2 linked regions of the Solanum lycopersicum genome follow. The protein of the gene in region 1 interacts with the protein of each later gene in a pairwise test. Links are inferred from orthologs where the notes say so. Each region holds a gene or a part of one and is shown on either strand. Other genes may lie near its edges.

Region 1 (3,787 bases):
TAGATTTATACGAACTCTTTCTTTTCGTAGAGTTCTTTCATCCCTTTAACAGCCGAATAAACACTGTATATTCAATGATATACCACATGCTAAAAACTTCACATTTTACCATCAAATGTAAACAAAAGTAACAAAAGAAAATGATGTGTTCTTATTCTCGCACAATATATGTAGCTGCTTCATAACATTCCAATATTCTTGCATCATCGTGGATCAAAGAAAGCATCCTATCACAACTACACAACGGAAAAGACATGATATCTGCAAATCTTAACCTTACCTTTGTGGGGTAGAGAGGTTGTTTTCGGAAAGCATCCTGTAGCAACATATCCATCATAATCCCACAAGTCATCACAAGTAGGGCCTAGAGAGATAGGACGTACCCAAAAGTTATCCCCACCTTTGTGGGGTAGAGAGGTTGTTTCGGGAAAGCATCCTGTAACAAAACAACATATTCACTATAATCCCACAAGTCACATATAGGGTCTAGAGAGATAGGACGCATTCAAAAGTTATCACTACCTTTGTGGGGTAGAGAGGTCGACTCAAAAAAGCGCAATCAAACCAATCCACTCAAAATCATAAGAACGAAGATGCGTTAACACAACAAGACGCTCCCCATAAAAATACAGTAAACGAGATACAAGATATGCATTTAACTTTAGGCATAAATTAATACGATAAGATTGAAGTAGTTAAACAACAAGATTTGATTTTCATAGCCAATCTTGTTCTTGCAGCTTCAATGGCAAATATACTTCGGACAGATACTGAAATCCAAACGAACTCAACGCCTGAATCTCAGCCTTTTGCTTAGTCTTCACCATCAAATTCAACTCCTCAACCCACGCGGGATTCTTCTTCACAAAGTCCTCCTCCAACAAATCTTTCCCAGTCTTAATATCCTGTTCAGTCATTGGCAACCTACATTGCTCCGGTATCTTATACTTGTCCAAATCACTCGGTCTAATACCCAACCACTTGATATCCGGGGTAGTCAGATTCGCACTATCATATGACATATTCTTCGATCCACATCCGTACACTGACAAAATCTTCAACCCATAAGGATCACTATCCACCAATGCCAAAACCGGCAAATTCAGCTCCATCTTCATCTTCCTCAGAAACAACCTAGTTGCCACATCCGGTTGACCCTTTGCAGTCACGATTATACAAGGAAATCTATTGTAAAACCGATCTTCAGACAATCTCATAAACGCAGCATCCTTTTCGACTAACAATATGTACAATGCATCACTCTGCATATCACCAACTCTATCGATATTCGGAGGTATAGCTTTCCCTCCCATTCCCATTTTCGTACAATCAATCATATCGCCATTGTCACTAAAAATCAACCTTCCAACTACAACTCCTTTCTCAGCTGCAACCACATTCAAACTAGACCTAGTACATCCAACTATACACGAAACATCATCTAATACAGCATCAGACTGCGTCTGATCCTGAAACAACTTAACGTCGGTGTAGAAAAGATCACGCTTTGTGACATGAATGTTACTGGTGCAAAGCTGATGAACAAGCTGAAGGATTCTAAGAGTAATTGTTGCTTTACGAACAGTAGATACATTACCGAAGTTGCGAGCCGATGATTTGTCTTTGAGAACAATGCGGTCGAGTTCGGAGACATAGAGTTGGTTAGCGGCAGCGCGGGAAGGGACGGAGAAAGAGAAACCTTCACCGGAGAGTATGGATTTAGCTATAGTAAACGCTAACGATTCAATTTCGGACTGTACCTCATCGATTGGGAGGTCGGCGACTTCACGGCAGGTAGAGGAGAGGCCGACGTCGGAGAGGGATAGGGTTTTGGAAGTGGTGGAACAGGAGGATTTGAGTGCTTTTAGGGTTTGGAGGATGACGGAGTCGGGTTTGAGCTTGGATTGGAAAGGCCGGCTTTCGGAGTCGGAATCGGAGTCGTGAGCTGCTCGCCGGCGTTTCTTCTTGTCGGCCATCGGCGACGGGGATTAGGTGAAGCGGGAAATGACAATAAATGTGAGGATAGGTACTGTAGTGCTTAGGGCTTTGGTTAAAGTAAAGAAAATGGCAAAAATGGTCCCTAAAGTTCGGTATATGTCCAAAATAATCTCTTAAATATATTCTCGAATAATTTTCTGTCTTCGTTTCAAAAAGAATGTCTCTATTTTCTTTTTAGTTTGTTTTAAAAATAAGTCGAAAATTGATTCTTCCTGGGTCGATGCCCGAGGGGTTAATGGGGACGGACTGTAAATTCATTCGCAATATGTCTACGCGAATTTTCCCTTTTTTTTTTTTGCAACACTTTAATTTTAACTTTCCACGTGACATGTTTAAGACCACAAGATTAAAGTGCATTTTGATACATTTGACATAACTTTAATTTAGACCACAAGATTAAAATTTCTTATTTCTTTTTTTAAACTCCGTTCCAAGTCAAACTAGGTCATCCTTTTTTAAACGAAAAAAGTAGTTCATTTCAATTTATCAAATACTATCGTGCATCGAACTATCCTTTTTAATATTTGGGACAATAACAACAATAACAAAATATTTAGTATAATTCCACAGAACATGAGGAGGGTAGATACAAATCACATCACTAAGACTATATAGTGTGTATACACATTAACCATTAAAGGGGTAGAGAAAATGATGCATATATTAATCACCAAATTATATAAAAGTTGCTCATTCTTCACTCTCACGATGTGATGACAAATTTAAACGATATATACTTTTCTCCATATTTATAAACCAGTTTATCTATTTGAGATGTCTTCATGTGTAGATTTGTTCTTTTCTTCGCAAATAAAGAGTTGCTTGTTATTAATTTACTTCATTATAGTGACATTACACACAATTAAAAATAAAATACAAATGGTATTATATACTTATAAACAATAAAAATATCGTGTCTAGATACAGATTCAGCTAACTCAAGCAGTTTCTTTTCTTAAAACGAATTAATTTAGAAAGTTCATTAAATATGTACCGTATTACATTTAGGACTCAATTATCAATACTTAAAGCCATTTTCCTAAAATAGAAGCTATAGAATTAAAATTCCGACTCCACCTTGAACAACAATAAACTCCTCCTCCGTAAAAACTCTAACCAATGTAATAAAACAAGGGATGCATCTTGATTTTCTTTGCAACAAACATTTAAGATTTCTTTTATATCATATAGCACGAGAGAAAAGACATAAAGACACCATCAAAATTGTTTCGTATTTGCATAAAGAAGTGTCCTATTACCCCCACAGTGTCCTATCACCCCACCAAATTATTTAATATCTTTGTAAATGGATTATTTTGACCTCCTTATTTTGATTGGAAGAAGATGAAGAGGGTTTCATGCTAGGACAGATACAAGGATGGTAAGAATTGTAACAATGTGAGGGCGTTTTATAATAGGGAGGAACAAACCAGGACTTTCCTATATTCACAAGGATTTTGAATAGCTATTGGCCCAATATGTTTTGGACTTGGTTTACATTGTTATTTTGAAAACGGGAAACTTTCACATATAGCACTAAAAAATCTCATAAATTATCATTTGTAGCTACATGTTATACGGAGAAGAGAGACGAGCGAGAGTTGGATAAAGCTGAATTGTATATCTATATTGATTAAATTATTGTATATTATACATATGCATTTTACCAACTTGGTGTATACAATGTGTGCCCAATAAAACAAATAACATGAAGTTCTTATTGATTGAAATAAAGGAAAGAAAACAAATACTAAATTGCAAAAAAAAACAACAAAAAGAAATAAATTAC
Region 2 (3,696 bases), on another chromosome or scaffold:
TTGTGTTCATTGTTTGTATCTAACTTTCAAAAGTATGTGCAAACCTTCGAAAAAATCACTTCATTTTACTAATTGCAAATGGATTTTTGAGTTACTTAGTGAAGTGAGTAGTTTGAAGAACTTTGTTGTGAATCATACTTTGTTGTGAATCATAATTTGACACATGCACTTTTTAAAAAACATTCGAATTTGTGTTTATTGAAAGTTGGTAAAACAAGATTTCTCTCACACGTTATTATGACCACCCAGAATCGCATTGTGAAATCGTCTTTGGAGAAAATGGTCATGGAAGGGTGATTAGGCAATTGAAGTCAAAACTCGTGAAATAAAATCTCTTATAATGATGAGATAGTATTGATTACTATTTGGAATTTACCGAACCAATTTTTGATATGCTAAAACTACCGATAAAATTACATCTCATGTGATTGAGAAGGTCAAGAAAGTAATCTTTGAGCATGAGGGGAAATTTTATAGAATAAAACAGCAAATAAATAATACTTCTCATTAAAATAAAATGTAATATCCATGTAAATATAAGGGATGAATGCTATTACTTTGACGCAATAGTTAAATATATTCTACATGAACTTGCTATTAATTCTTTATTCTAATATTTAGGCCTTCTAAATTATTGCTATTAATTCTTTAATTTAAGATATTTTAATAGTTAGTTATTTGTTTCAATTCTCTTGTGGTTTAGGAATTAGGAGTCGTACTCCTGCCTCGTATAGATTTATGAGTTTTATCAGAAATTAAGAATGGGATCTTTGATAATGGACAATTCACATCCTAGGACAAAGATGACAATCTAAGTGAAATTGAATGGTGAAATGAAGCGAATTCATAAAATCTGCACAATCGTATAGTCTAATATTAATTTGGTATATTTGAATTCATCTTACACACATGTGATAAGTGTATGTTACGGTCCTCTAATGGATCTAGTTATGGGATGTTGCTAGACAAAATCAGAGTTAATGTAGAGTGATTTAGGAGTTTGAAAAGAATTTTTCTTCCTGCAATCTCTTGAGTTAAAGTACTCAAAAAATGGATAATTTTCTGCATATCATTACACTGGTGGATTATCCACCCATCTGAAAACAAGGAAATAACTTCCTACTTGAATTGAAATGAGAAAGTGGAGGAATAACTCCTTGTGGCAACAACTGCTACACAGAAATAGGAAAAATAAATAACTTATAAGCTGAAGTAATCTACTCTTTATTTTCCTTAAATCTTCCATGTGTAAACCGTCGGTAGACTAAAGGGGTGCTAAAGATGTAGGTGTTACAGTGTTTCTAGTATCTTCAGTAGCCTATACCATAGTATGGTGCTTTCTCTGTGAACCAAGAGATCTAGCCTATTTAATCTGGTGTTAAGTATTTTTTGAATTTAGATCATACAGTGAACTAGGTCTTCTTAAACACAATGAACACAAAATTCTTGTTTTCTTTTTTGCTTAATAATGTATAACAAAAATATTATAGATGCTCTTCGCATAACTAAAGATTGATAACCCAAATTTACTACTACTTCCATTTTAATTTATATGGCATTCTTTCTGTTTCATGACATCCTAAAATGTTTGATACAAGTCTTCATTAAGGGTAAGTTCGGAACTAAGTGTGAATACTCTATCTAATAGCTTATTTCTGATCTCGCTGTTTTTTGGGCATCACATTTGTTATGTCAAGATATGCAGTTTCAAAAAACTTTGTTATGTCAAGATAGGATTCTCAAATTAATTTGTACTACAACTTTTAGAACTTTAAAGAATTCAAATTTGTTTCACTATTCCATTTTTAAATTTGAGATGATGTCATCTTTATTGCACTAACTTTCCAATCATTACTTATTTACCTTGTAAAAAAAGAAGTTTTTCAAGCATTATTGCTTTTGCTTGGTAATAAAAAAAGGCATTTATTGCTTTTGCTATCACTGATATGATGCAAGAGTCAAACTATTTTTAAATTCAATGTCTAGTCAAACATCATATAAAATTAAACTGAGCTGGGAACAAATTTTCCCCTATCATTTCCGAAGACTTATTTCGATTTTTTTGAGTAGCAAGTCGTAGTTGAATAAGTTGAAATTGAAAGCATACTAAACATTGTGCCTTCAACACGCCCCTTCCCATGCTTACATGATTCTTTTCATGGTAAGCATGTGAAGTTCTTTTTGATACTTGACAGCAGTGAGACTCGAGTGGAGGACTTTAGCCAATCTGATAACATGTAGATTTGTGTGACACCTAATCTATTAGCTTAAGCTAATAGAACATACTTTTATTTAATTAATATTACGTCTTCAACAAATAATAACGTAGAGAGAAAAAATTTAAATTGATGGCTGGTAACGGGTAAGAATGCAGACTACACAACAAAGTAAGAAAAAACCTTGATGAGGTCAAATATAGTCTTATTTTGATCATTAAGTTCCTTTGGTAGCCTCTATGCTTTAAAATTGGAAGCGAAATTTAAAACATATGTTTCACAAGAAAATCTGAGTTGCATGAATGTTATGTTTTGGTTGATTCTGGCTCTGGAAATTCTGGCATGTGAAATATGTAATATGTTGAGAACTATGTACCTACTGTATTATCTCAAAAAACAAAAACTATGTTCCTACTGTTAGGTTGATTGCCATCGTAATATTTCAAGTCTGATTCTGGAACTGCAATGAGAATTCATTATGATGTTGCTGACAATGGGAATCCCAATATCCATGACGAAAGAGAATTCATGTGATATACTGAACGCAGCCTTGCTAGAGTTGCATTTTGATGGGTTTGTGTTTTGTTCTCTCATAAAAACCTTATACTTACTATCATCACATCTACCATTAATAAACCAATCTTTTGTCATGGATATTGGAATTTCTAGTGTCAGCAACATCATAATGAACATTTATATGCTTTGTACTTATATGCATATAATTATAGTTTACCACTCATTCACTTGCATAACTAAAAGGTTTGCTTCATTCATTGTACATTATATCTAAAACAGAATATTCTTTTACATCCTAGGGGAGATGGGTCCAGATTTTAGCCCAAAAATGTCAGTTAAATCTCTAACACCACAGCAAATAGTTCGCATCCATCAGTTGTTTCGTCAAGCCAAATTTGATGATCCCAGTGGTGATGTAAGTTCCTCTTTGTGAAATTCTTGCCTCTTTTCCAATATCCTTTAGCAACACCAAACTAAAAATGTTTGGTGATTCCCAGTTATCTCATGCATATGATTTCTAAGCCATATTGCAGATTTTAAGTCCCGCTGGAGAATATAATCTACGTCTTGGCATTATAAAGGAGCTGCACCCAGATATGGTTGCAACCTTTTCAGGAAGGTTGGATCATATATTAAGTTCTTCATCTACTTAGTTTGATGAATCCTTTGATTGGACAATACAAATCATAAAGTGTTTAAAGCTACTATGTCTTCTATCCAGTGCTCAAGTATTCGAAGGTCATCCATTTATCGTGGAAGCTGGAGTTAGTGTTGGTGGGAAAGATGTCAAACAAGTAAGAATCTCCCTTATGGTAAAGTATATAAAACATGGAGAACGTAATATTCTTAGTCCTGAAACTGATTGCATCTATTCAATATGTTGTATCTCCATTTAGAAGCAAAGGACCCATGAGAACGCATCTTTATCTGCATTTGTTAAGTATTTAAAGATGATTTGATTTAG

The links.
Region 2: the proteins of DNA topoisomerase 6 subunit A (region 1) and DNA topoisomerase 6 subunit B interact in binary tests that used the Arabidopsis thaliana proteins (3 or more experiments, as listed by UniProt). The link is inferred for Solanum lycopersicum from reciprocal best matches to the Arabidopsis thaliana genes RHL2 and TOP6B.

Annotation. Positions count from the first base shown.
Region 1 is NC_090808.1:1,314,358-1,318,144, forward strand, and holds DNA topoisomerase 6 subunit A, read right to left. Parts: upstream 2,083-3,787; 5' UTR 1,977-2,082; coding exon 717-1,976; 3' UTR 556-716; downstream 1-555. UniProt on the Arabidopsis thaliana protein: Component of the DNA topoisomerase VI involved in chromatin organization and progression of endoreduplication cycles. Relaxes both positive and negative superturns and exhibits a strong decatenase activity. Involved in cell-elongation processes.
Region 2 is NC_090800.1:17,329,415-17,333,110, reverse strand, and holds part of DNA topoisomerase 6 subunit B, read left to right. Parts: intron 1-3,031; coding exon 3,032-3,147; intron 3,148-3,265; coding exon 3,266-3,351; intron 3,352-3,453; coding exon 3,454-3,526; intron 3,527-3,696. UniProt on the Arabidopsis thaliana protein: Component of the DNA topoisomerase VI involved in chromatin organization and progression of endoreduplication cycles. Relaxes both positive and negative superturns and exhibits a strong decatenase activity. The B subunit binds ATP.